Linked DNA regions of Neurospora crassa OR74A. The protein of the gene in region 1 purifies or fractionates together with the protein of each later gene. This does not show direct contact. Links are inferred from orthologs where the notes say so. Each region holds a gene or a part of one and is shown in the gene's direction. Other genes may lie near its edges.

Region 1 (4,056 bases):
CAAAGTCAATCGCAAGGGGCAAGCGGGAGCTAGGCAATTCGAAGCCAAATTACCAGCCCGATCGGCTTGAGCCGTGTCTACGCCTCCTGGGGCACCACTTGGCAGCAGAAAGACGGGGAAGTGAGATACAGAGTGTATCGAGATTTAACATAAACGTGGTTTCGATTCAAGAACCAGAAGTTCTTGTCCGATTTTATTTTATGGGATGCCTTCTGGATTGTTTCCGTGATGTCTGTCCGTGGTGTTGAGCGAGTGGTGTTGAAGAATAGGGCCATGGGACCAGATTATATCATGAACATCAACTTCCGTGCTGATACCTCCCATTGGAACCATTCTCAGCCTCAGATCGTGGAAAGATGCGACCCAAGGCAGCAGTGAGCCAAAGACCGAACCACACTTGTGACTCGGTCAACTCCATGGAAAATGATCATGTTTTCATGTAATAAAGGTGTTGTTACTTCCGACGTGACCAAGATAGCATCCCGTCAGCCTTGAGAGAATATGAAGGATTCCGAAGGGGTTCATGAAACTTCACTTCAGCCAATGTAATGATGCGAGGATATTGATCTGCCATGTGTACTGTTATGTATCGACCCAGGGGCCTCTCGGCGAGTGACACTTCCAACCCAGGGACCTGGATTCGAAGCTGACTGGTACGTTCCAATCTTGCGCCCTGTATCCCGCAGACGGGGTAAGTTTCCAGCTGCCCCGAATTATCGATTATCGATCAAGGCAACCCGTAGCCTGACTATGGACTTGTGTCAAGGCCTTCGAAGTCGTCCGCTGGACGGGAACTGCAAAGTCCACCAGGCTATTGACTGGTCTGTCTCAATCCACTAAACCTTTGGAATAGAAATGTAACATAAGAAGAATACTGCAATGCCAGGATCTCAGAGGTACTGTACAGCGTTTGAATATCCGCAGTGTAAAGCAATGCCACCATGGACGACATCCAGAGCCTAATTCCGTGAGAGGGACAACGAACATGAAAGACCGACTACACGCGGTTACGTTGAGTATATCATGTCTATGACAGACTGGAGTAATTGCAGGAGAGGTGAAAGCGTTGTGATAATAAACGAATATCAGAGAAGAAAACAACATAATGCGGATTTGAAGATAAGAGGAAATGGACAAGTTCAGTTCTCGACTCTCGCAAGCAATTGGGGGCACAATTGGCGGGTTCCGGGGTTCGGCTGATCTGCAGTCAAAAGTGGGGTCAACACTGGGACGGCTGTAGCGCACAGACCAGGTTTTCATCAGGAGAAGAGGGCAGAATTGGCAAAATTTTCACCGCCTGGTGTAATCCCTGGTTATCGAACAAGCGATAAGAAAAAAATCCCCAGCGAAAGAGAAGGCAGAGGAAGGATAACAGATTCGACTCGCTGGGAATTTGAACGGAACCATTGCGACGCCCTTTTCCCAGAGTATCGCAACCACCCACCGACAGTACCAACCCCCCCACGCCATCACGATGGCTTCCGAATTTAGCAAGAAGCGCAAGCTCAAGGACGCCAAGATTGCGACCGAAGATGGCGCCGCCACCGACAAGAAGACCAAGAAGGTGAAGAAGGACAAGAAGGAGAAGAAGGCCGCCGAAGAGGTCGTCGAGGACGCCACCCCCGAGGAGGAGAACGATGCCCAAAAGGCGGAGGAACAACAAGATGGCGACGAGGTCATCCCCACCGGCAACGGGGACAAGGAGGACAGCGACGACAAGGACGCTGAGGCCGGCGACGAACTCACAAAGACCAACGACTCCCTCATCGCCCCGTCCATCGCGACCAATGCCACCGACTTCTCCGAGCTCAACCTGTCCGACAAGACCATGAAGGCCATTGCCGAAATGGGCTTCACCAAGATGACCGAGATCCAGAGGAGAGGTATCCCGCCTCTGCTCGCCGGCAAGGACGTCCTCGGTGCGGCCAAGACCGGTTCCGGCAAGACCCTCGCCTTCCTCATTCCCGCTATCGAGATGCTCAGCTCCCTGCGCTTCAAGCCGAGAAACGGTACCGGTGCCATTGTCGTCACTCCTACCCGCGAATTGGCTCTCCAGATCTTCGGCGTCGCCCGCGAGCTCATGAAGAACCACTCCCAAACATACGGTGTCGTCATCGGCGGTGCCAACCGTCGTGCTGAGGCCGAGAAGCTGGGCAAGGGCGTCAACCTGCTCATTGCTACTCCCGGTCGTCTGCTCGATCACCTGCAAAACACTCCCTTTGTGTTCAAGAACATGCGATCGCTCATCATCGACGAGGCCGACCGTATTCTCGAGATTGGTTTCGAGGACGAAATGCGCCAGATCATCAAGATCCTGCCCAAGGAGGACCGTCAGACCATGCTCTTCTCCGCCACACAAACCACCAAGGTTGAGGATCTCGCCCGTATCTCGCTCCGTCCCGGTCCTCTTTACGTCAACGTCGATGAGGAGAAGCAGTTCAGCACGGTCGAGGGTCTGGACCAAGGCTACGTTGTCGTCGACGCCGACAAGCGCTTCCTGCTCCTCTTCTCTTTCCTCAAGAAGATGCAGAAGAAGAAGGTCATTGTCTTCTTCTCGTCCTGCAACTCGGTCAAGTACTACTCCGAACTTCTCCAGTACATCGATCTTCAGGTTCTCGATCTCCACGGCAAGCAGAAGCAGCAGAAGCGCACAAACACCTTTTTCGAATTCTGCAACGCCAAGCAGGGCACCCTCATCTGCACGGACGTTGCCGCCCGTGGTCTCGACATCCCCGCCGTTGATTGGATCGTCCAGTTCGATCCTCCTGATGACCCGCGCGACTACATTCACCGCGTCGGTCGTACCGCCCGTGGTAACAACACCAAGGGCCGTTCGCTGCTCTTCCTCCAGCCCAACGAGTTGGGTTTCCTCGCCCATCTCAAGGCCGCCAAGGTCCCCGTTGTGGAATACGACTTCCCCAAGAGCAAGATCCTCAACGTTCAGTCCCAGCTGGAGAAGCTGATCGGCCAGAACTACTACCTTAACCAGAGCGCCAAGGACGGTTACAGGTCGTATCTCCACGCCTATGCTTCGCACAGTTTGCGGTCGGTGTTTGATATCCATAAGCTTGACTTGGTTAAGGTGGCCAAGGTATGTTTTCTCTTCTCTCCCTTTTTCTTCCCCAACACCAGAACAGTCACTAACGTACTACAAAAACAGTCCTTCGGCTTCTCCACCCCTCCCAGGGTAGACATCACCCTGGCCTCCAGCATGTCGCGTGACAAGAAGCAGACGAGCAGGAGAGCGTATGGTAGCCAGCCGAAGCAGAACCGTCACTAAGCGAGGCGGGATTCGGTGTTCGTGTTGTTGTTGTTGTTGGTTAGAATACGAAAAGGGGATGATGATTTGTCAATGTTCTCTCTTAGATATCCATCGGGCATTCGGTGTGGAGCATAGTGGGTGTTTTCTTTTGTGTTGCTACTTTGCTGTTTACTTGTTGTTGTTTGCGCAAGCTGCCAAGGCGTTTTTGGTTGAAAAGTAAAACTGGAGGGCTTCAAATCAACAATTAATTTTTACTTTACGTTGCTGCTCCGTTGGTGTGGTATTTCTGATGCTGTGCCGTTCGGTCATCTCGGGTGTCTTTCCATGTGAGGATGGAACATATTATCATGCTGACAGTTTCATTTGATAAATGGTAAGAAAGACCTTGAACAAACCACATCATATCTATTTTGCTACGCAATTGGAAAGATCGTGATGTTGATATGGCTGATGGAAAGCATGGAGGTCCTGAGTGTCACTCTCTATCAAGGATCCTTTGTAGGGATTCATAATCAATACCCAAATTAGGTAGCTGACAACCGGTACCAACTCAACACTAACCTCCAACAACAAAGCATGAAACAACCCACTGATGACAGTCTACTATTTCAGAACGACCTACATCGATACCTATTCTATCTGCAGCCCCAATCGACCCCCCGAACCTGAACTACATAACAGACGGAAACTCCCCGACACAAACCAACCTAACAACTTTACCAAATTTCACCTCGTCCCCAATATCCTCCCCTTCCCCTTTCCCAATATCCTCTCCTTTCCCTTCCCATCACTTC
Region 2 (4,183 bases), on another chromosome or scaffold:
TCTCTGGCCATCCTGAAGGCTCGGTAACACATCTGGGATTTCCTCTTCCGAGATGGGCCTGAGAGGACTGGATGGAGTATGAGATCGTTCTATGAGAGGACCGGCTAGATCACGAAGAGCTCTTTGGGAAGCGCTGGGGTGGTTATTCGCTATGACTCGGGGAGTAAAGAAGCGCCTGAATTTCCGGGGGGTGATGGACGGGTTTCGACGTTCCTTGGCTGCGCTTCGCGGAGGAGGAGAGGACGGAATGGGGGGAATGTTGTTGCTGGTGTTCAACGACGACGAGCTCTTAACTCCCAAAGGGGTTGAAGTGCTGTTGGAGTTATCGGCCATGGCGAAAGGATTCTCTTCGACTACCAGAGCGAAGAGCTGGGTCCAGGCCGCTTATGCAACACGATACCTAGAGACGATGTACACGGGGCCGGCGACGCTGGATGCGCGCGACCTGGCAGCGAGGGGCCGCCGATGGCAAGGGTACGCGGAGACAGAGAACAGGCTGTGGTGATGGATATTTGTACAGAATCAGTTGAGCAACAGCTGGCGCAGAGGTATTGCTGGCAAGTGTCGACTGGATATTGGACAAGGGCTGACGTCGAAGTTGCAGGCTAGGCTGTGTGCAGCAAGCAGGCTGAGCTTGAAGAAGGACGGGAGGTCGAGGTCGTCGTTGAGAGACAAGGTAGGCGGCCGGGGGGGGCGTAAGGTATTGGCGCCGAGTTTATTGGTTGGCGGATTTGGTCGTAGTAGTATGGGTCCTCTGAGTGAAGTGGTGCGGCCGGAAGGGGTATGTCTATGTCGGTTTCTGGTGTAAGTGTGTCCTTGGTAGTATGGACTTGAAATTGAATGCGTAGGTGGAGATGTGATGGAATTGGATTTGGTTGTTCGTTTCTGTTGTGGATTTCCCTTGCGTGGTTCAGTTCCTAGAAGTACCTACGCTTTTGCTGAGTTCCCACTTGAGTACCTAGGTTTGCCGGGCAACCAAATCGACAGCCATGGAAACCTGACCTGACCTGGCCTGACCACCCATGGACTCCATTGAACACCTCCTCCAGTGGGCAGAGGCTGGGCGTGCGGTCCGTAGCGGCCGGGGGTCGGGGGGGAGGCGCCTAGAAGGAATGCGGTTTAGTGCTCCATCAGGGGAACGCGAAGACGCGGGAACAAATGACGCGCTGCATCGCGAAAGCTTAATGGCTTTTTCGTCCCATAAATCGCGGTTGCTGAAGACATGAAGATTGGTCAATGCACTGCACTTCAACCGCGGGATGTCTGGCCCACCCTGATGGGGCCCGTCTTGCTCGTTGCCCCACCAGCCGCCGGAGTCCAGTCTCTTATCGCTTATCGCCCTGCAGCTGTCATCCAAAAAAATCATTCTGCAACGACGACCCTGCAATCCCTGCGCTGCGAGTGCTGGAGGGAAGAACAGTCAAAGGGCACCCGGACTGCCATTTTCACCAACCCAAAAAAGTCACCAGGTCGTCCTGCTCAACAACACCAGTCGGAAACACCCCCCGACTTAGAGCACCGGCACCATGGCGATCCAAAAGAAACACGGCAAGGGCCGTCTTGACAAGTGGTACAAGCTTGCCAAGGAGAAGGGTTATCGTGCCCGTGCCGCCTTCAAGCTGATCCAGCTCAACAAGAAGTATGGATTCCTCGAGAAAAGCAAGGTCGCTCTCGATCTTTGCGCTGCGCCCGGTGTAAGTCATAGTCGTGAACATCCAGTTTATCATGGAGTGAACTAACCATGTCTGTGTCCGTCCCTAGTCGTGGTGTCAAGTCTGCGCCGAGACTATGCCGACAAACTCCATCATCATCGGTGTCGATCTTGCTCCCATCAAGCCCATCCCCAAGGTCATTACCTTCCAGAGCGATATCACCACCGAAAAGTGTCGCGCAACCATCCGCTCCCATCTCAAGACATGGAAGGCCGACGTCGTTCTTCACGATGGTGCGCCCAACGTCGGTACTGCTTGGGTCCAGGATTCGTACAACCAGGCCGAACTTGCCCTGCACTCGCTAAAGCTGGCCACCGAGTTCCTTATTGAGGGCGGTACGTTCGTCACCAAGGTGTTCAGATCCAAGGACTACAACTCCCTTCTCTGGGTTTGCAACCAGCTTTTCGCCAAGGTCGAGGCTACGAAGCCCCCTTCGTCCCGTAACGTCTCCGCCGAAATCTTCGTCGTCTGCCGCGGCTTCAAGGCCCCCAAGCGCATTGACCCCAAGCTTCTCGACCCCCGCTCCGTTTTCGAGGATGTGGCCGGCCCCGCCCCCAACAACGAAGCCAAGGTGTACAACCCCGAAGTCAAGAAGAGAAAGAGAGAGGGTTATGAGGAGGGAGACTACACCCAGTTCAAGGAGATCTCTGCCAGCGAGTTCATCAACACTGTCGATCCCATCGCCATTCTCGGCCAGTACAACAAACTCAGCTTTGAGCAACCCAAGAACGGCGATGTAGCATTGGCTGCCCTCGACAAGCTCCCCGAAACGACCGAAGAAATCCGTCTCTGCTGCGCCGATCTCAAAGTGCTCGGCAGGAAAGAGTTCAAGCTTCTCTTAAAATGGCGTCTAAAAGTACGGGAGATCTTCGGCTTCCCCTCCAAGAAGACCCAGAAGGCAGCTGTGGACGAGGAGGTTGCGGTAGTGGAGAACATGGATGAGGAGCTTAGGATCCAGGAGGAGCTGCAAAGGATCAAGGAGAAGGAGACCTCCAAGAAGAAGCGCGAGAGGAGGCGCGAGAATGAGAAGAAGCAAAAGGAGATTGTCCGCATGCAGATGAACATGACTGCGCCCATGGATATTGGTGTGGAGCAGGAAGGTCCCCGTGGTGAGGGTGCCATGTTCCGTCTCAAGACTATCGACCAGAACGCTGCCCTGAATAAGATCGCCAAGGGCAAGATGGCCGTTATCAAAGAGACCGAGAAACCGAAGGATTACGACTTTGGCTCCGACGGCGAAACCGACGAGAGCGACGAGGAGGCCGATCGTCTGGAGGAAGAGCTCGACAACCTGTACGATCAGTACCGGGAGCGGAAGGCGGCGGCCGATGCCAAGTACCGTGCCAAGAAGGCCAGGAAAGAGAACGGCGACGATGAATGGGAAGGCGTATCTGGCGATGAGGAGAAGGGTAGCGACGACGATGACGATGAGGAACTAGAAGTGGACAGCAGTGATGATGATTCCGACTCAGAGGATGGTGAATCTGGCAAGAAACTTATAACAGATCTAGACGGCCAGCCAGAAGAGAAGGATGGTCTGTCCAAGCGGGCCAAGAACTTCTTCAGTCAAGGTATCTTTGCGGAGATACCAGGACTTTTGGAGGAGCCAGAATCTGAGGAGGAGGAGGCTCAGGAGGCTGAGCTTGTTGAGGCTGTGGAGGACCTCAAGGTTACCAAGAAGGAGAAGAAGGAAGCCAAGGAAACCAAGGCCAAGAGCAAGAAGGCGGCCGAGGAGAGCGATGACGACGACGATTTCGAGGTTGTCAAGAACAACGAGGATGACGACTGGGAGAACGTTGAGAAGAAGAAGAAGAACGGCAGGCCTGGTAAGTTTCACTCAGTCCCTCTTCAGTATGACCTGTTAAGGGCAATGGCTGACTATGACAACTACAGACATCGACATCATCACCGCCGAGGCCATGACCCTCGCCCACCAGCTCGCGACCGGCGAGAAGACAAGTTACGACGTCATCGACGACGGTTACACCAAGCACGCCTTCAAGGACCGCGACGGTCTTCCCGACTGGTTCCTTGACGACGAGTCCAAGCACGACAAGCCGCACAAGCCCATCACCAAGGCCGCAGCGCAGGCCATTAAGGAGAAGCTCCGGGCCTACAACGCCCGTCCTATCAAGAAGGTGGCCGAGGCCAAGGCCAGGAAGAAGTTCAAGCAGGCCCAGAGGCTGGAGAAGCTCAAGAAGAAGGCCGATATGCTTGCCGGTGACGATGGCATGTCAGAAAAGGAAAAGGCTGCTAGCATTTCGAAGCTCATGGCGTCGGTTGCTAAGAAGACGAGGAGGGCGCCTATCAAGGTTGTCAAGGCTGCTGGTTCCAACAAGGGTCTCCAGGGCAGACCTAAAGGAGGTTCGTACTATCACTACCTTAAGATCTGGTGTGTTCTTTATGTTGGAATGATGCTAACTCGGTTTTTTCAATTTTATAGTCAAGGGCAGGTACAAGATGGTGGATCC
Region 3 (3,118 bases), on another chromosome or scaffold:
TGCATTGACTTAGCTCAGGTATGAAGATTGATCTTCACGATACTTCCGTATCGGACTTGCTTCTCGGATATCATGACGAACCCGTAACCGTGTGCTGATATCCCACCTTTTCACTTGGCGTTGTTCCATCTCTGGAAATGAACAAGTTCATGACGTGCTTTGCTTCTACAGCTCACATCGAACTGCTTCTGCTCCATGGCAATGGTGTTTTATGAGACCGTGACCCAATCACTTACACGCAAAGTTGGGAGAAGCGACCTAGCGACAGGAAGGTGCGAAGCTCAAAGTTCAGGACCTGAGGGCACCGATCCAATACTCTTCCTCCAATCGCTCACCCACGTGTCACTACCTACTAGTAAATGGCGCGAGATGGCAGGCAGTAGCAGCTTGGATGCTCCACGGATTTCTAATACATCGAACCTGGTCACTCCGTCAGGAAAACCTGGCTCGGGAAAGTAGGGAGGTACATGTACTGTAACTGCAGAAGCGTGCCTCTTGGATGGCAGAAGCTGTGTTCTGTAGAGGAAGGTATGTACAGCAAGATAAGAGGTATCGTGCATGGAGCCGTAGCGATCGATGTAATGCGAACCAATTCAACGGTGGCAGTCGGATTCATCTAGGTTCCGCTTGCGTATGTCCAACGTGAATTAACCTGTAAAACCCGGAATTGACGTGCATTACTTACCTAATCGAGCTCAGGTATATCGTCATGCATCGTTCGACTGTAAATGATGTTCAAAAGTTTCAACATTCAATTGGTCGCCGAAGTGCAACATGCTCAGACAAAGGTCTGTACATTATGCCGACCGCTGTTCATCGAGGTGCTCAGGTTCGGTCCAGGGGCAGATCAACTTTGTTAGGTCTCGTCGCTGCCGCCCGTTTGTGAGTAACGTGTCCTGAGACCATATGCTTGAGATCGTATCGATCCAAAGCGCGAAATGTGAAACACGTAGACAATTTCATACTGTTCGATAATGTCAATGTCGAGTTGTCATGGGAAGAGGTTGTCGTCGAATTGAGCCGTTGAAGTCACGGCTTACTAGGGTTAGGGGTGATTCTGATGACGGCAGAGCGGGTCCACCGTTCATCCCCGCTGGGCTGCCCTTGGTTCCACCAAGTGTGGGGTTGACGCAAGACAGGGACAGGGACGCAGGGCATATTGCCGGCCGCGACCGCCAAAAATTTCTGAGTGGAGAGCACCTCAGCAATTGGGAAGTTTCGAATGGAGGGACCTGCACTCCGAACCTCGACCATCTCGGCAGCACCTCCAATCCGCGATAAACAATTCTGCCCGTATTTCTCCCCCTCGGCTTGATCAGCTGGCAAATCGATCCCAAACACAACCACTATTCCATCTGCTTAATTCACATACAACCTACATCCAATCAAACCAGACACACACACAATCACAACCATGGGCATCACCAAGCGCAAAGAAGGCCCCAGCAGCAAGGGCAAGCCCGTCCGACCGTCCAAGAAGCAGAAGGCGCAAGCATTGGCCGCCTACCACAGCAGTTCAGAGGAGGAATCCGACAACGAGCAGCAAGATGTTGAAGACCAAAGCGACGAGGAGGCCGGCACCTCCGCCGTTCCCGCCCACCTCCTCGACTCGGACGACGAAGACCTAGACAACCTCGTTGCCGACGATGGCGCATCCACAGACGAAGAGCAAGCATCCGACTCTGATGATTCCGAAGCCGAACAACCATCAAACAAGTCCTCCAAGAAGTCGCAAACAAAACCCAAATTCGTCGCCAAAGACGCCCCAGATTCCGAAGACGACGAGGACGACTCCCTAGACGGCGGTTCCGACCTGGGCTCCGACCTCGACGATGAATTCGACCTCGACGGCTCGGGTGATGAGAACGGCAACAGGAGACAAACCAAATCCAAGCGCAACGATCCCGACGCCTTCGCCACCTCCATCACCAAAATGCTTTCCTCCAAGCTGCCCGCCTCGCGACGCGCCGACCCCATTGTCGCGCGCTCCGCCGAGTCTGCAGCCGCCGCCAAGTCCCTGGTCGACGCAGCGCTCGAAGCCAAGGCGCGCAAGCGTTTGCGCGAGCAGAAGCGTCTGGCCTTTGAGAAGGGTCGGGTGCGTGATGTGTTGGTCCCTAGCAAGACTAGGACGCTCAACATCCAGACGGGCGAGATCGAGGAGATTCCGGATGGAAAGGAGGGCGAGCAGACGACGGGTCAGATTCTGGAGACGGAGAGGAGGCTGAAGAAGACGGCGCAGAGGGGTGTGGTGAAGCTGTTTAATGCGGTTAGGGCGGCGCAGGTCAAGGCGCAAGAGGCGGAACGGGCGGCGAGGCAGGAGGGAATCGTGGGTGTGAAGAGGAGGGAAGAGAAGGTTACGGAGATGTCGAGGAAAGGGTTCTTGGACTTGATTGCGAGCGGTGGTGGGGGGTTGAAGAAGGGTGGCTTGGAGGAGGCTTAAGGGAATTGCATTCTGGTGTAGAGGGGTGATTGTTTATTGTGTTTGCATATTGTCAAGGTCTAGGCTATTTTCTTATATACAACCCCGTGCCCTTGATCTGGGGCAAACAGTTGAACAACGTACAAGCCCCATGCAGAAGTATGAACAGTCAACATGCTCTTGCCAATCCGTCATATCCATCAACATGAACATTGCCCATCACAGATATCCGATAAACTCTGCGCTGAACGCCGTCGCCTCAACAATCCGACAGAAATGGAATAGATGTCGTGTTTGTGCCATATATATTCCGTCGTCCGTCTCCATTTTTCTTTACACCACAGTGAATCCCCTGCCCCTTCACCTCTACCTTCTTCTTCTTCTTCCTCCATGCTCAACCCTTCATCGCCTGATATTACCTCCCCCCAATCCCATGTCATTCATTCCATGACGGCACGGTCTAGGACTTGAAATCACTAGCCTGCAAATTCCTCGTCATGCTCGGCAACTTGACCACCAACCCATCCAACTCCTTGGTCATGTGCACCTGGCACCCCAGCCGGCTCGTCTCGGTGAGTCCAAACGCCAAGTCCAACATGTCGTTCTCGTCGTCGTCGGGCTCCGGCATCCGGTCGTACATGTCCTGGTCCTGCACAATGACGTGGCAGGTCGAGCACGCGCAGGAACCGCCGCAGGCGC
Region 4 (3,400 bases), on another chromosome or scaffold:
TGGCCCGAGCGCCTGCACGGAACAACCCGCATCCAAACCTCCTTCTCTCACCACACCCTCACGGGAACATGCTTCCAACGAGTTCACGAGTCACGACAGTTTACTTGCATCCCAGGCTTCTCAGTCGCGGGAAACTGCATAGAACTTTTCGAAAATGCATTCCTAATGCCCGAGTCTCCGAACACTCCACATGTACATACATACATACAGCTGCGGACAGTTTAAGTTTCAGTTTCAGTGGCATGGGCTGGGCTTGACGAGAATGCAATCGCCCTTTTTCAAAACCGTTGAAAAGTAGGTAGGTAGCTTCCCGATGGCATACATACCTAGTGACGGCGGAGGCGGAGGCGGTGAAAGGAGGAGTGCCGAGGATCCATGGAACAACGGTAAAAGAAGCCACCACGTGAATGGGATGCGTTCCGGAGGTTGTACGATACATGCAAAGTATGGATGGGATGGGTATGGGCTGTTTGGACGTGATGGGGAAAGAGACCGGGGAGTCTCATCAGGTTGGATGGATATCCTACATTTATGGTCCAGTCAAGACGACCACGAGAGAGAGAGGGGACATGGCGAAATAGATCATTGTGAGAGGAGGGAAGCTATACTGAACTGCTTCATGGTGTTAGAGAACGACAGGCCAGGTAGGTCCGTAGTAGGTGGATGAGAGCATTCTTGATGCTCGCCGGGAGCAATGACTGGAGAAATCTGGTTTTATGTCAGAGTAGAACGGTTTTAAGGAATCTGTATTGTGAACCCGAAGTGTAGAAGAACACCATCCCAATATGTTGGCTTCGTGTATTCAGAATCTTCTCAAGTGTGCTGACCTTGTAAGAGTGATGCCAGAGTTTTGTGATGTTGCTGACTTGGCAATCATATTGCTCAATGCTTGTTTCCCAAAGAGCAAGTGATTATCGAGTGATCAGAACAAGAATATGGAACTCAAGGTTGACTCCATCACCAACCTAATTGTGATGAGACGGCAGAAATGGAAATGATTTTGGTTGCCGTTGCAGTGACGTTGAGGCGTGAAATGGAATGGAACCTAACAGCCCGTGAACCCCTGAACGACAGGCAGGGGAAAGCCAGCGCCCAGTGGACGAGCGGACAATCTTGACCCCACCTGCCCCACAAAATTTCGAGTTCAAGGTCTCCTCTTATCGATAAGCGCCGTTCTGGAATTTCTTTGCTCGACCATCACGACGACGATTTGCAGGTGAAGGAGACAGTCCCCAGTCCACATCACCACCTTGCGGTACCTATCCAATCCACCCACTACCGTCATCGCATAACCAGACCGCCAAAATGCTCCGCCAAGTGTACGTCAATCGATCATGACAATGGAACATACCGAACATTAGCTGACAGTTCTCTTCTCCGCACAGCAAGCCGCGGACAGCCCGTTCCAAGAGGGCGCTCGAGAAGCGTGCCCCCAAGGTCAATGAGAACCCCAAGACCGCCCTCTTCCTTCGCGGCACCACCTGCAGCCAAGTCGTATGTCACCTCCTCCATATCCTCTCCTCCTATATATGATGGTATCATCAAAATCTAATACAGTCCGCAGACCCAAGATGCCATGCAAGATCTCTACTCGCTGCGCCAAACCCACGCCAAGCGCTTCCACAAGAAGAACCCCGTCCACCCCTTCGAGGACGCCAGCTCCCTGACCTTCTTCTCTGAGAAGAACGACACCTCGCTCATCCTCTTCGGCTCCAGCAGCAAGAAGAGGCCCCACACCATCACCTTCTGCCGCACCTTCGACTACAAGATGCTCGACATGCTCGAGTTCTACCTCGACCCCGAGACCTTCCGCAGCATTGCCCAGTTCAAGACCAAGAAGGTGCCCGTAGGCACCAAGCCTTTGATGGTGTTCGCCGGTACTGCTTTGTATGTCCCCCGATTCTTGTGACAAAGAGGAAGGAGTAGTGAATGAACGTCAGCTAACCGAGTACCACAGCGAATCCCCCGTCCCCAACGCCTTCACCACCGCCAAATCCATGCTCATCGACTTCTTCCGCGGCGAGCCCTCAGACAAGATCGACGTTGAGGGTCTGCAGTACTGCGTTGTCGTTTCCGCCGACGAGCCCACTTCCTCCTCCACCGATCCCTCGGACCCCTCGACAAAACCCACCCTCCACCTGCGCGCCTACCTGATCCGCACCAAGCGTTCCGGCCAGAAGCTCCCCCGAGTCGAAGTCGAGGAGCACGGCCCCCGCATGGACTTCCGCCTCGGTCGCCTCCAGCAGCCCGACGCGGACATGCTCAAGGCTGCGATGCGCAAGCCCAAGACCAACGAGGAGCGCACCAAGAAGAACATCAGCATGGACAGCATCGGTGACAAGATTGGTAGGATCCATATGGGCAAGCTGGATCTCAGCGAGTTGCAGACGAGAAAGATGAAGGGTCTCAAGAGGAGCAGGGATGTGGTGGATGAGGACTTTGATGATGCGGATATGCCGATGGAGGGCGTCAAGGAGGTCAGTGACAGGATCGTGGGGCCGAGGAAGAAGAAGGCGAGGGATGTCGTTGAGTTTTGAGTTGAGCAAGAGTAGGGAGACGGGAGAATGAGGGGTTGAGGGGATGAAGAAGAAGGCAGGCAGGGAGGAGGTTTAATCTTTTTTCTCTCACAATTGTTGCGATCATCCACCAAGACACAAGGCGTTTTTGGGAGTTTTTAGTTTTATTACTTTACTTTATCTTATATCATTGGCTGCTGCTGCTCTTGGGGAAGATGAACATTCATGCCAGATCAGATCATCAACAGAAAAGAAGAGATGACCAAAGCTGGAGTTATTGATGGATGATGGGTTGTTCGTGAAGTTGCCTTGCCAAAGCTTGTAGACCTAGACATCTATCTAGCATATACGTGATATTTATACCAACCAACATATGGGACCATAGGATCAACCGATCGACCGGCCGAATTTGCCGCTACAGCTTTGTTTGGAAGAATCTAGTATTGTCAGCACTCGCTGCCTACTATCACATGGCACTCATGCTATTTCCCTCTTCTACCTGGATACCTTGCTACCTTGCTACCTTGCTACCTTGCTACCTTGCAACTATCTATAATCATAGAAAAAAGACAATGCCATAATCATGTACAACCATAGGAAAACCTATGAACTATTCCCTGTTTCGATCTTTGGTTTGGAAACGTCTATAAGGGGTGTCGGTGAGGCAGTCTGCAGACTGATTTAGTACAAAATTATGAAACCAAATATCCATGCCGAGAACGATTGATTAGTGTATATGTTGACTGACTACAAGGTTATGAATGAAATGCCTGTACCAGAAATTGTGTTTGTTAGAGCAGAGTTGTATCAATCAATGATGGCTTCCTTATGCTTGTCTATAAAGAGACTAAAGCCAGTCCCACCAAAGAGTTAAGACTCGAGAT
Region 5 (2,962 bases), on another chromosome or scaffold:
GACTTCGAGACTACCGAGAGCCTTCAGTCCGACGCCCAGGATGGAGAGCATGACAATGAGAGCGAGCAGGGCGACGAAAATGCCTGGTTCAGTGTCAGTCTACTGCCTTGAAAAAAGCGCCGACTTGAGATGATGATTACATACCAGGAGTGAAGAACTGATACTTCGCAAACAGCGGGCGGTTATCATAAGTGGTGTTGCCGTTGTCACTGCCCTCCTGAGAGCTAAACTGTCCGCGCTTGAGATCCATATGGACTGGTTCGATAAAGTCAGGCTGGTAAGCCTTGAACTCGTTAGGGTCTGATACCATGACAAGGGTATAGTCGCCCTCAAGGGTATCGAGCACCAGGCCCAACTGATCGTCTATAGTTGCACAGGTTAGTACGGGGCAATTCAATAGCCGACCCGTGATCCGAACTAGACATACCATTAGAAGCCAGGATTTGCGCCCTATTATCCTTGTGCTCCAAGGAAGGTAGATGCGTGAGGTCAACTTTGACGATACCGGCAACCTTCCCCTTGGCAGCGCAGGCTTCCTTCACATAATCCTCCAACGAATGGGTTGAGAGGTCGCCGACTACCTCCGCAACGCTGAAACGGCCCTTGATTTCCTTGCTTGCGATTGTGTCGCATAGACTGCGCATTTTACAGTGCGAGCCATCGCGGATGTCGGCGGCGTGCACGTTCGGCTGGGAGACGATAACGTAGTCTTTCGTAGGACAAGAGGAAAGGATCTCCTTGGCGGAAGCAATCACTTGATTGCTGGTTTGGAGCTGATCGTATCTTTCGGGTGTATTGAGCCTGGAAATCACGGTTTCGCAAGGGTCAGCATCTTCAGTCGAAGTCACATGCATGAAAGCGCAACTGAGTGGGATGTGGTGCACAAGATCGTGATGGCGCGAGGGCAACTTGAAGGGACACCACCCACGGCGACAATTGGGACATGACGTACCTGGAGGTGGAAAAGAGGACAAATGGTGAAGAGTCCGAGAAGGCATGCACTGCCGTAGAGGCGAGCAGAGTTGTTACTATCGAGAGTTTCATGATTTACAGATTATGCCAAACTGTCTGCGATATTGTCGTCGTCGTCGGTTGTTGTGTTGGATATGCGAATATGGTGTAGTGTACAAACTGGCAGCGTGGTGTAGCTCCAGGATCCAGAGCCCGGGAGCGTGGATGTCACTGCACTGAGAGAGCGCCAGACGTCTGATGCATGGGATTGGGTGCTGGGTGTGACCGGCAGGCTATGGACATCAGAGATAGGCGGTAGAATAGGGCAGAATACGATAAGGCCGCTTCCTGCATGGTGCCCCGTTCGAGTGAACATTTGAACAGGGGGGTGGCTATCAGTAAATTTACAGTTGAACCCAGAGCATCCAGATCGCTGCATCCAAACATCCTTCCCGCCCTTACCTCTACCTCGATTTCTTGTTCCCTTTTCTCCACAAAACCACCAAACGAACTTTCCACTCAAAGTCAACCCTCGAAGCCATTATGGAGAGGGATCCAGCGTTCTTTGTTGCCCCAAGGCCCAAAAAGAGTGGGCTCGCGCCGCCACCCAAGAAACGCAAGATAGTGCACAAGGTCGAGGAAATCACATTCGACAAGGACGCCCGCACCGAATATCTTACCGGTTTCCACAAGCGTAAACAGGCCCGAATCAAGGCTGCGAAGGCGCAAGCAGAGGAAGAGGCACGGCTGGAACGAATTAGGTTGAGAAAGCAGGTACGTACCGGATGACCGCTGTCTTTCTTGGTTGGTTCCATGGCAGTAAGTCTAATCTACGTCGGGTACAGATCAGAGAGGAGCGGCAGAAGAACCTCGAGGAACATATCCAAACAGTGCACAAGCTTCTCCACGAGGCAGAGCGTGCCGGTACCGACGACAAACCCACCGAGAACAAGTCAGACGACGAATGGGATGGGCTATCCGAAGACGATGTGGCGGAAGAGCCTGCGCTTGATGTCGAGGAGGAGTACATCGATGAAGACCGCTATACGACCGTGACAGTAGAAGCCGTCAGCGTAGACAGGGACGGCATCCACAAACCACGGACCTTGAAGGACGAAGAAGATTCCGAGACGGAGAAGAACAACAAGAAGAAGAAGGCGGCTGAAGAGGCGGCGCAGCAGGAAGCCGACAAGAAATCAAAACGAAACTTCCCAGAGAAAAAGAAGAAGAGAAAATTCACATACGAAAGCCGACATGACCGAAACGTCACAGAGAGGAAACAGAGGGCAAAGAAAGCGAAGCGGTCGTGATAGGTTAGATGGCGAAGGAAATAATCTACCGCTATTCCTGACAGCGGTATCCCTTACGATATCTAGATCTTGTTTAAGTACTGTATGTGCAATGCTGGGATGATGGATTATGCTTTGAACTAGTAGGCAATATGAGTTGTACGCGGGAGTTAGATAACGGCTTGCTTTGTCCGTCTTATCTCCCTACTCGACAACCCGAGGACAAACGGCATAAAGGGTCAGGCTGATATTATCGATGCGGTGACGCTGTGAACAAACGTAAAGAAAGGAATTTCCACCATGTTCCGACTGCATCCGTTAACCAACTTAGATGTTGGCAATATCAGCCTGGAACTCTTCCAAGCTCTTCTGTACCTCGGCGTACTTCTTGGCCATCTCTTCGTACTTGGACTCCCACTGGTCGCGCTCGTTCTCGAGGGCCTGAACCTTGCGCTCGAAGTGGCCGGCCTTGACGTCGGTCTGGCGAAGCCTGTTGAAGGAGGAAAACATCATGTTAGTCTAAGGTGTCGCAAAGAAAAGGGGTTCAAGGGCACAGGGGTTAGGACCCTCCCCCATCTCATCGTCCAGGGGTGCGTGTATTTCGATGCAAACGTACTTCTCGTTGGTCTCGCGGAGAGTCTTGTCAGCCTCCTCGGCCTCCTCTTCAAGAAGTTGAAGTCTCCGTGTCAGCGTCTCGTTCTGAGTGCCTTGTTGCGCGCCAT
Region 6 (4,098 bases), on another chromosome or scaffold:
TCGTGGAGAACAGCGTGTTGATGAAGGTGGTCTTGCCGAGGCCGGACTCGCCAGCAACCTATCCACCCACGCCGTCAGCATTGGTTTTACAAGCGCGAGGTTCGGCAAGCTTTGGACAGTGAAGCGCACCATAATAGTAAAAGCAGCGCCTCTCTTAGCAACAATCTTGTGTCGCTGGTTGGGCAGATTGGCAATGCCAATCGGTGAGGCGCTCTCGGTAGTGGCAGGGGCCATCTTCAGCTGGGCGAAACACGAAACTGGGAGATAATTATGGGTAGAGGATTAAGTCACGATCCCGTTGCTGTAACGGCGAGAAGAAGCACCGGCAATTGGAGAAAAAGAGCGTCAGGCGGGATGCGTGGTGTACGGGTATGGTGGTGGTCGTGAATGGGAATCGAAATTAGGTTGGTGTTGACAGTGGACGGGTGGGAGCGAGAGGCAGACGGGGGATGGAACTGCAGTGGTGAGTGGACGGGGGACCCGTCGTGGAGCTCTGTGCTTTCGTTCAGGGGAATTTACTTGTTCAAATTTCCACACCACATTCATCTGGCCCAACCCAGCACCACACACCCACGCAGGAGAGAGCACCAGCGACGGGGACGGGAGCGCCAGGCCAAACCTAGCCCACACTGACTGAACCCCAAGCACTCCAGGCACTGCAGGGCCGCGGCAGCAGACGGACGGAGCAAGCAGCGAGCAAGCAGCATTCGATTCCATCCTCCAGATGAGGTGCCTGGGCGGGGCCACGGCAGCCGTCTGTGATGATGCCGAGAAGGCGCACGGTACACGATCCATATAATCCAATGGCACCTTTCGAGCCCGGCATTCTGCAGTAGTGTAGAGCTGCCACCACACAAGGCCGCTCTTGACTGGCTGCGCGGCAGGGAAATGAGTGGACCCTCCCCTTTTCCACTTGCTTCCCACACTTCCCCAATTCCAGGTCCCCAGAGACGGACCTACGCTGGCAGCTCTCCACTGAAACGCGCTTGCCAGGTACCCTCGCCGAGCATTTAATCGATGCGTGCCTTCCCTGCTAGCGCCATTGGCGGTGATCAGCCATTCATTGCCATGGAAACTTGGTCGACCCTTTGACCCTTTGATTGCCAGCTCTGCCAGCCTTGCACTGTGCTTGGTGACCGTGCTTGGTGGTGCCGTGCAGTGGTTGGTCTCGCTGCGGTCGGTGAGGCTGCCAGATACGCCAAGTCTTTTGCCAGCTGGTGCCAAAGCGAGGAGCTAACCCGACTCCATTCCCCGCCAAAAAGTTTATGAAATTTTTGGCTGGCAGAATCGCCATTGAACGTACGGGCGGTCTAGGCGCAACAGCAGCAGCCTGTAACTGAACTTCTGTTCCACTTACCTATACAGACTCGAAAGAGTCCTCCAGTTCCTGTACATAATCGAATCCCCAGATACTATCCCAGTTCTGCTCCATCTCCAACGTTGACAGTCGAGGCATGGAATAGTGTTTGAAAATGAAGACCGACTTCAAGTTTTCTAATCTACTGGGCACAGTCTACTGCCAGGGCAACCTCTTGTTCAGCCCGGACGGTACCCATCTCTTCTCGCCCGTTGGCAACAGGGTGACAGTCTTTAACCTTGTCGAGTACGTCTCAAGATTCCCTACACACCTGCCTGGCGCATGGCTTGTAAGCTGGCTAACACGGTCGCAGTAACAAATCATATACCCTTCCCTTCTCCCACCGAAAGAACATTGCGCGTATCGGTCTCACGCCCCAGGGCAACCTCCTACTCTCCATAGACGAAGATGGCCAAGCTATTCTCACCAACGTGCCCCGGCGCGTAGTACTATATCACTTCTCCTTCAAGGCTCCAGTAACGGCTCTCTCCTTTTCGCCATCGGGGCGCCACTTCATTGTTGGACTCGGCAGGAAAATCGAGGTTTGGCACGTTCCCTCAACACCCGACGCCAACGCCGACGGCGAGCTCGAGTTTGCGCCCTTCGTCAAGCACCATACCCACGTCCAACACTTCGACGATGTCCGTCACATCGAGTGGTCCCACGACTCGCGATTCTTCCTCACATCTTCCAAGGATCTCACAGCAAGGATATGGAGTGTTGATCAAGAGGAGGGGTTCACACCTACAGTTCTGTCCGGTCACAGGCAGGGTGTCGTGGGCGCGTGGTTTTCCAAGGATCAAGAGACGATTTACACAGTCAGCAAGGACGGCGCCGTATTCGACTGGCAATACGTTGCGAAGCCTGGACAGGACGAGGATATGGTGGACGACGATGACCTGGCCTGGAGGATAGTCAACAAGCACTATTTCATGCAGAACAGCGCCACCGTACGATGCGCCGCTTTCCATCCCGAATCGAACTTGCTGGTTGCCGGTTTCTCGAACGGTATCTTTGGCCTCTACGAAATGCCCGACTTCAACATGATCCACACTCTCAGCATCTCCCAGAACGAAATTGACTTTGTGACGATCAACAAGAGCGGCGAGTGGCTGGCGTTTGGCGCATCCAAGCTTGGTCAGCTTTTGGTGTGGGAGTGGCAGTCCGAGTCTTACATTCTCAAGCAGCAGGGCCATTTCGACTCGATGAACTCCCTCGTTTACTCTCCGGACGGTCAGCGGATTGTCACAGTCGCCGATGATGGAAAGATTAAGGTGTGGGATACGGAATCGGGATTCTGCATTGTTACCTTCACAGAGCACACGAGCGGCATCACTGCTTGCGAGTTCTCCAAGAAGGGCAATGTCCTGTTTACCTCGAGTTTGGACGGTTCCATCAGGGCTTGGGACTTGATCAGATACAGAAACTTCAGGACCTTTACAGCACCAGAAAGGCTATCTTTCTCTTGCATGGCAGTTGATCCTAGTGGCGAAATCGTGGCGGCTGGCTCCGTTGACTCTTTCGACATTCATATTTGGTCTGTCCAGACTGGCCAGCTCCTAGATCGTCTTTCGGGACACGAGGGCCCTGTGTCATCCTTGGCCTTTGCGCCTAACGGCGGTCTTCTTGTGAGTGGTAGTTGGGACCGCACTGCCCGTATCTGGTCCATCTTCAACCGCACACAAACAAGCGAGCCTCTCCAGCTCAACTCGGATGTTCTCGACATTGCCTTTAGGCCAGATTCTCTCCAGATTGCCATCTCCACTCTCGACGGCAACCTGTCGTTCTGGTCGGTCTCGGAAGCTGAGCAGCAAGCTGGTCTTGATGGACGCAGGGATGTCTCCGGCGGTCGGAAGATCGGTGATCGCAGGACTGCGGCCAATGTTGCCGGTACCAAGGCTTTCAACACCATCAGATACAGCACAGACGGATCGTGCCTTTTGGCCGGCGGAAACAGCAAGTATATTTGCTTGTACTCCGTCACCACCATGGTTCTCCTGAAGAAGTACACCGTGAGCGTCAATCTTTCAATTCAAGGCACTCAAGAGTTCCTCAACAGCAAGCTTCTCACCGAGGCTGGACCCCAGGGTCTCCTGGACGAGCAAGGCGAGGCCTCCGATTTCGAGGACAGGATAGACAGGTCACTCCCAGGCTCCAAGCGCGGCGACCCCTCCGCACGGAGGAAGAATCCCGAAGTGAGAGTAAACGGCGTTGCCTTCTCCCCGAACGGAAGTGCTTTCTGCGCCGCCTCCACAGAAGGTCTTTTGATCTACAGCCTGGACACCACCATCCAGTTCGATCCCTTTGACCTCAACATGGAGATCACCCCCACCTCTACCCTGGCCGTGCTCGAGAAGGAGAAGGACTACCTCAAGGCTCTCGTCATGGCTTTCCGCTTGAACGAGGCCGGTCTGATCCAGCGTGTCTTCCAGGCCATCCCTTACACCGACATCCCTCTGGTGGTCGAGCAGTTTCCCAACGTGTACGTTGCCAGGCTGCTGCGGTACGTTGCCGCGCAGACCGAGCAGAGCCCTCACGTTGAGTTCTGTCTTCTTTGGATCAAGGCTCTGGTCGACAAGCACGGCGCGTGGTTGTCTGCCAACCGCGGCAAGGTCGATGTTGAGCTTCGTGTTGTCGCAAGGGCTGTTTCCAAGATGAGGGATGAGATCAGGAAGTTGGCCGATGAAAACGTCTACATGGTTGACTACCTCCTCGGTCAGGCGAGCGCTGCTAAGGAGACT
Region 7 (3,533 bases), on another chromosome or scaffold:
TACTATGTCCAACGGCTTCTCGAGACCTGGAACCGTCTGGCTGAGGCATGGTGTAACCCAGGATTGAGCGGGGTAGGAGTGGCAGGCAATATCCAAAATCCAATCATCTCGAGTGGCTGGACGTCACTTTTGTATCACAGCGGCCCGTCTGTGAGTTCCGTCGTCTGATTCTGTGATGTCTAATGGCACCACGGAGCGAGGAGTGGTCCGGTGCGCGTGTGCTGTGGCTGGGGGAGGAAGCAGTAGGTGTTGGGTTTGTAATTTTGATCCTTTGTACATTTCAGTAGATACCAAGTTTGAGAAGGAAGATTACGGTGAACCGCATGGGATAATTACCGACAAGAAACTGGAAAGAGATAGCGACATCTTGACTTTCCTATACTTAGTGTACGGTTTGTATCAGGAAAGAACGATCTCGGGACCCTTACTGTCGCAGGGCAGGAGCTAGTCTGGTGGAGCCTCAGGGGAACCCGACTCCACTTTTGACGCTTTCCCCGGATTCCGTCCCCGCATCTTTGAGTTAGCGCTGTGGATCTGATGGGGCTCTCGGTCAGCACCCGACCCTCAACTCCGCTGTGAGTGAGATGAAAGGAGCACTGTGATTGGGGAAGGAGTGAGGAAAGTCCATTGCACTTCAAGTTCAATCTGAGAGACGGAGATGCGTTATATCAACCAAGTGTCAAGGAAGACCTCTTTTTGTGTAAAGCCTAAGTAGTCACCTTCAACAGACACTGGCCTACTGCCGACGGAGTTTCCATCACAGAAGGTCTTGATCATTGTGAGAAATGACAGACAATTCAAGATCCGATTTCGCCACAGTCTCCGAGAAGAACTTGACGCCTTCAGTTGTAACTCGAATAGATTCTTCAGACATGGTAAAAATTGCAGTCACGAACACCGATGATACCCGGTGTTGAACATTGTAGAGGGTGTCAGACTTTAATCGTTAGCAGTAACTGATGGGAAAGAAAGAGAGTGGAGCTAGCAATGTTAGGGTCCGCGAGAGTCCTGTTAACAGAAACCAATGCCATCTTGGTGACTGAACATTGTCGCGAAGCGAAAAGATCGTGAGCTCAAGAAGTATTGTTGGATGGATCGGGGAATATACTGATTTGGGAAAAGTAAACATGCCCGTCGACTTGAGCATCATGGCCATCGCTTGTCGAGAGAGCATCGAAAGTAAGCAGCCGCAATTGCCGGCCAACTTACATCGAGGAATCGATCATCGGGAACCATCATTGTCAAATCAAGAGAAAAGAACCGTCTGGGCTGGCGTATATGCACGCTCAACCCTAACCCGAGTCTTGTCGGCTGATAGCACGATAGCGCTAAGATAAGCCAAGCGTCCCCTCCGCCCCACTTTACTTTTCCAACACCGACATCCAGAAATTTTCAGAAGCGGCGCCCTTGACCGTTTCGCTGTTGTTGACTTTGTTGCTTGCTTCCCCCTCTCCTCCCCCCCCTCCCGAACAGACAACGAGCCCATCCTCACCCGGCTCGCTGCTTCTCTCCTCAACCACCACCACCACCACCACCACCACAACCACCCACATAACCCGTCAAGATGCGTGTCGATCCCTGTTTCTTTTGCGGCCGTCCGGCCTGGCCCTCCAAGGGCATTACCTTTATGCGTAACGATGGTATGTTTTTGTCATACTTCAGTTCCCCATCATCAACCTCTCCGTCAAGGCCAATTGCTAACCAGGGTACAACTAATGTTACAGGCAAGTCCTTCCGCTTCTGCCGCTCCAAATGCCACAAGAACTTCAAGATGAAGCGCAACCCCCGCAAGCTCAAGTGGACCAAGGCCTACCGCAAGAACGCCGGCAAGGAGATGGTGGTCGACAGCACCCTGCAGTTCGCCGCCCGCCGCAACGTGCCCGTCCGCTACGACCGCGAGCTCTTCGCCAAGACGGTCAAGGCCATGGAGCGTATCTCGGAGATCCGCCAGCGCCGCGAGCGCATCTTCTACAAGCGCCGCATGGCCGGCAAGCGCGCCCGCGAGGTCGCCGCCGCCCGCAAGCTCGTCGCCGAGAACGAGCACCTCCTCCCCCGCCTGCGCGGTTCCGAGAAGAGGAGGCTGGCCGAGCTCGCCCAGGAGACGGGCCAGGACGTCGAGGAGCTCGAGCGCGAGGAGCTGGCCAAGAAGGCTGCCAGCAAGAAGACCAAGGCGTTTGGCGGCGAGGTCAAGAGGCTCCGTGTCAGGACAGACGGCGGCGTGGAAGAGATCTCGGAGCGCGTCGCTGGTGGAGGCTTGGTCGATGAGGATGACGATGACGAGAACGATTTCGAGGACGTGGACGATGACGACGAGATGGATACCGACTGAGCGCCCGAGTCTCTGTAACTATTACTACCGCGACCACCACCACCGCCAACCACCACCACCACCATCACCAACACCGAAACCAGCCACCTCTTTTCTCGGGATCATTCGTTGTTTGCTTGTTTTCTTCGGACGAACTCGCTCCCGCGGCTGTCGATATCCCTATGCGGGGGAGGGTTCTGCTGTATTTTTTCGGCGGCCTTTCCTCGCCACTGAGACCTGCCTAGTTGACACCAGCAACAAAGCCCAACTACGACGAACGGGTCTTGGTGTATAAAGACGGAACGACCAGAAAGAGGACAGGACAGACAGCAATTGGTTGACCAACAGCCAATACTCTAACTGTAAAAACAGTAACTGTGGCTTTGGACAGACAGACAATCCTCCCCCCCGAGCGATGGCTGCTTTCGGGGCTTGCTTATACCCCTTGCTTGGTTGGTTGGTCGTTGGTCGCTACAGGTCATTGGAAAGATTCATTATATTCAGAACCATGGTTTTCAAGGGGGGGATCAATCAGTCTACCTTTAGTAGCAAAGCATATTTTCGGTTTTATTGGAATCGGCGAATTTGGCGTTTAATAGACACGGGGAGACCCACAATATGAAGTACTTGTTTGTTTTTTTCTTTCTGCCATGTCTTGTCTTGTTTTATAGTAGTAATCCTCAGTACTTTCTGACTCGACAAGTTACTCGTTTCTGTCTTCTGCCAACGTGACTGACCTCTGTAGCTCGAGACCTGACTAGGTATCCTAGCCAAGGATATATCCAAGGTCAATCTTGGACTACTACCCGTTCGTTGATTCCATCTTGCACTCAGTCGACAACACAACAACTCTAAACAACACCTAAAAGACACAGTTGGTTCAAGTCGGTAACTAAATACAAAGTATTATATCTTTTATCATTTGTATTATTATAAGCGTTAAGACCCGACAAAACCAAACCAACCCCTTCCTTCGCATGCTAATGCTCCGATCGCCTTGCTTTAGCCAGCCAGCCAAACCGTAAGCACAAAGCACAGCCAAGTTTCTCATTATAGTTTGCTTCCCCATTTGTCAGGTTGTCTAGCCCACCCACCTCTATTTCCCTCCCCCCACCCCCCATCATCATCATCATCAAGTTCCATCTCATTCTCTCATCATATATTTACCCCATTATATCGTTAACCTCGTTAACATCGTCAACATGATCATCATCCCCATTGCTGT

The links.
Region 2: the proteins of NCU09349 (region 1) and NCU03669 purify together in Saccharomyces cerevisiae (affinity purification with mass spectrometry; 3 studies listed by BioGRID). This does not show direct contact. The link is inferred for Neurospora crassa OR74A from reciprocal best matches to the Saccharomyces cerevisiae genes HAS1 and SPB1.
Region 3: the proteins of NCU09349 (region 1) and NCU07795 purify together in Saccharomyces cerevisiae (affinity purification with mass spectrometry; 4 studies listed by BioGRID). This does not show direct contact. The link is inferred for Neurospora crassa OR74A from reciprocal best matches to the Saccharomyces cerevisiae genes HAS1 and RRP15.
Region 4: the proteins of NCU09349 (region 1) and NCU08595 purify together in Saccharomyces cerevisiae (affinity purification with mass spectrometry; 11 studies listed by BioGRID, with this or other methods). This does not show direct contact. The link is inferred for Neurospora crassa OR74A from reciprocal best matches to the Saccharomyces cerevisiae genes HAS1 and RPF2.
Region 5: the proteins of NCU09349 (region 1) and NCU01203 purify together in Saccharomyces cerevisiae (affinity purification with mass spectrometry; 3 studies listed by BioGRID). This does not show direct contact. The link is inferred for Neurospora crassa OR74A from reciprocal best matches to the Saccharomyces cerevisiae genes HAS1 and RRP17.
Region 6: the proteins of NCU09349 (region 1) and NCU03794 purify together in Saccharomyces cerevisiae (affinity purification with mass spectrometry; 5 studies listed by BioGRID, with this or other methods). This does not show direct contact. The link is inferred for Neurospora crassa OR74A from reciprocal best matches to the Saccharomyces cerevisiae genes HAS1 and PWP2.
Region 7: the proteins of NCU09349 (region 1) and NCU05235 purify together in Saccharomyces cerevisiae (affinity purification with mass spectrometry; 3 studies listed by BioGRID). This does not show direct contact. The link is inferred for Neurospora crassa OR74A from reciprocal best matches to the Saccharomyces cerevisiae genes HAS1 and RLP24.

Annotation. Positions count from the first base shown.
Region 1 is NC_026502.1:4,196,553-4,200,608, forward strand, and holds NCU09349 (ATP-dependent RNA helicase has-1), read left to right. Parts: upstream 1-1,331; 5' UTR 1,332-1,474; coding exon 1,475-3,091; intron 3,092-3,160; coding exon 3,161-3,280; 3' UTR 3,281-3,556; downstream 3,557-4,056. UniProt on the Saccharomyces cerevisiae protein: ATP-dependent RNA helicase involved in 40S ribosomal subunit biogenesis. Required for the processing and cleavage of 35S pre-rRNA at sites A0, A1, and A2, leading to mature 18S rRNA.
Region 2 is NC_026505.1:2,021,302-2,025,484, forward strand, and holds the start of NCU03669 (AdoMet-dependent rRNA methyltransferase spb1), read left to right. Parts: upstream 1-1,383; 5' UTR 1,384-1,526; coding exon 1,527-1,694; intron 1,695-1,761; coding exon 1,762-3,538; intron 3,539-3,605; coding exon 3,606-4,076; intron 4,077-4,155; coding exon 4,156-4,183. Other genes in the region: NCU03668 (WD domain-containing protein), read right to left, coding at 1-333. UniProt on the Saccharomyces cerevisiae protein: Required for proper assembly of pre-ribosomal particles during the biogenesis of the 60S ribosomal subunit. Specifically methylates the guanosine in position 2922 of the 25S rRNA at the stage of 27S pre-rRNA maturation.
Region 3 is NC_026505.1:268,756-271,873, forward strand, and holds NCU07795 (DUF1665 domain-containing protein), read left to right. Parts: upstream 1-1,245; 5' UTR 1,246-1,414; coding exon 1,415-2,440; 3' UTR 2,441-2,618; downstream 2,619-3,118. Other genes in the region: NCU07794 (2Fe-2S iron-sulfur cluster binding domain-containing protein), read right to left, coding at 2,880-3,118. UniProt on the Saccharomyces cerevisiae protein: Constituent of pre-60S ribosomal particles. Required for large subunit rRNA maturation, in particular processing of the 27S pre-rRNA at the A3 and B1 sites to yield 5.8S and 25S rRNA.
Region 4 is NC_026501.1:9,517,966-9,521,365, reverse strand, and holds NCU08595 (ribosome biogenesis protein), read left to right. Parts: upstream 1-1,203; 5' UTR 1,204-1,305; coding exon 1,306-1,319; intron 1,320-1,385; coding exon 1,386-1,494; intron 1,495-1,564; coding exon 1,565-1,887; intron 1,888-1,957; coding exon 1,958-2,537; 3' UTR 2,538-2,900; downstream 2,901-3,400. UniProt on the Saccharomyces cerevisiae protein: Required for biogenesis of the 60S ribosomal subunit.
Region 5 is NC_026505.1:3,223,999-3,226,960, forward strand, and holds NCU01203 (hypothetical protein), read left to right. Parts: upstream 1-1,374; 5' UTR 1,375-1,494; coding exon 1,495-1,725; intron 1,726-1,796; coding exon 1,797-2,261; 3' UTR 2,262-2,462; downstream 2,463-2,962. Other genes in the region: NCU01202 (hypothetical protein), read right to left, coding at 1-83, 145-363, 428-801, 953-1,044; tpm (tropomyosin), read right to left, coding at 2,568-2,730, 2,857-2,962. UniProt on the Saccharomyces cerevisiae protein: Essential protein involved in ribosomal RNA processing.
Region 6 is NC_026505.1:2,437,194-2,441,291, reverse strand, and holds the start of NCU03794 (periodic tryptophan protein 2), read left to right. Parts: upstream 1-1,298; 5' UTR 1,299-1,472; coding exon 1,473-1,603; intron 1,604-1,670; coding exon 1,671-4,098. Other genes in the region: NCU03795 (cell division control protein 12), read right to left, coding at 1-58, 130-234. UniProt on the Saccharomyces cerevisiae protein: Required for bud-site selection and cell separation. Also involved in nucleolar processing of pre-18S ribosomal RNA.
Region 7 is NC_026504.1:5,664,041-5,667,573, forward strand, and holds NCU05235 (ribosome biogenesis protein RLP24), read left to right. Parts: upstream 1-1,414; 5' UTR 1,415-1,564; coding exon 1,565-1,640; intron 1,641-1,724; coding exon 1,725-2,329; 3' UTR 2,330-3,033; downstream 3,034-3,533. UniProt on the Saccharomyces cerevisiae protein: Involved in the biogenesis of the 60S ribosomal subunit. Ensures the docking of NOG1 to pre-60S ribosomal particles. Activates and recruits ATPase AFG2 to cytoplasmic pre-60S ribosomal particles.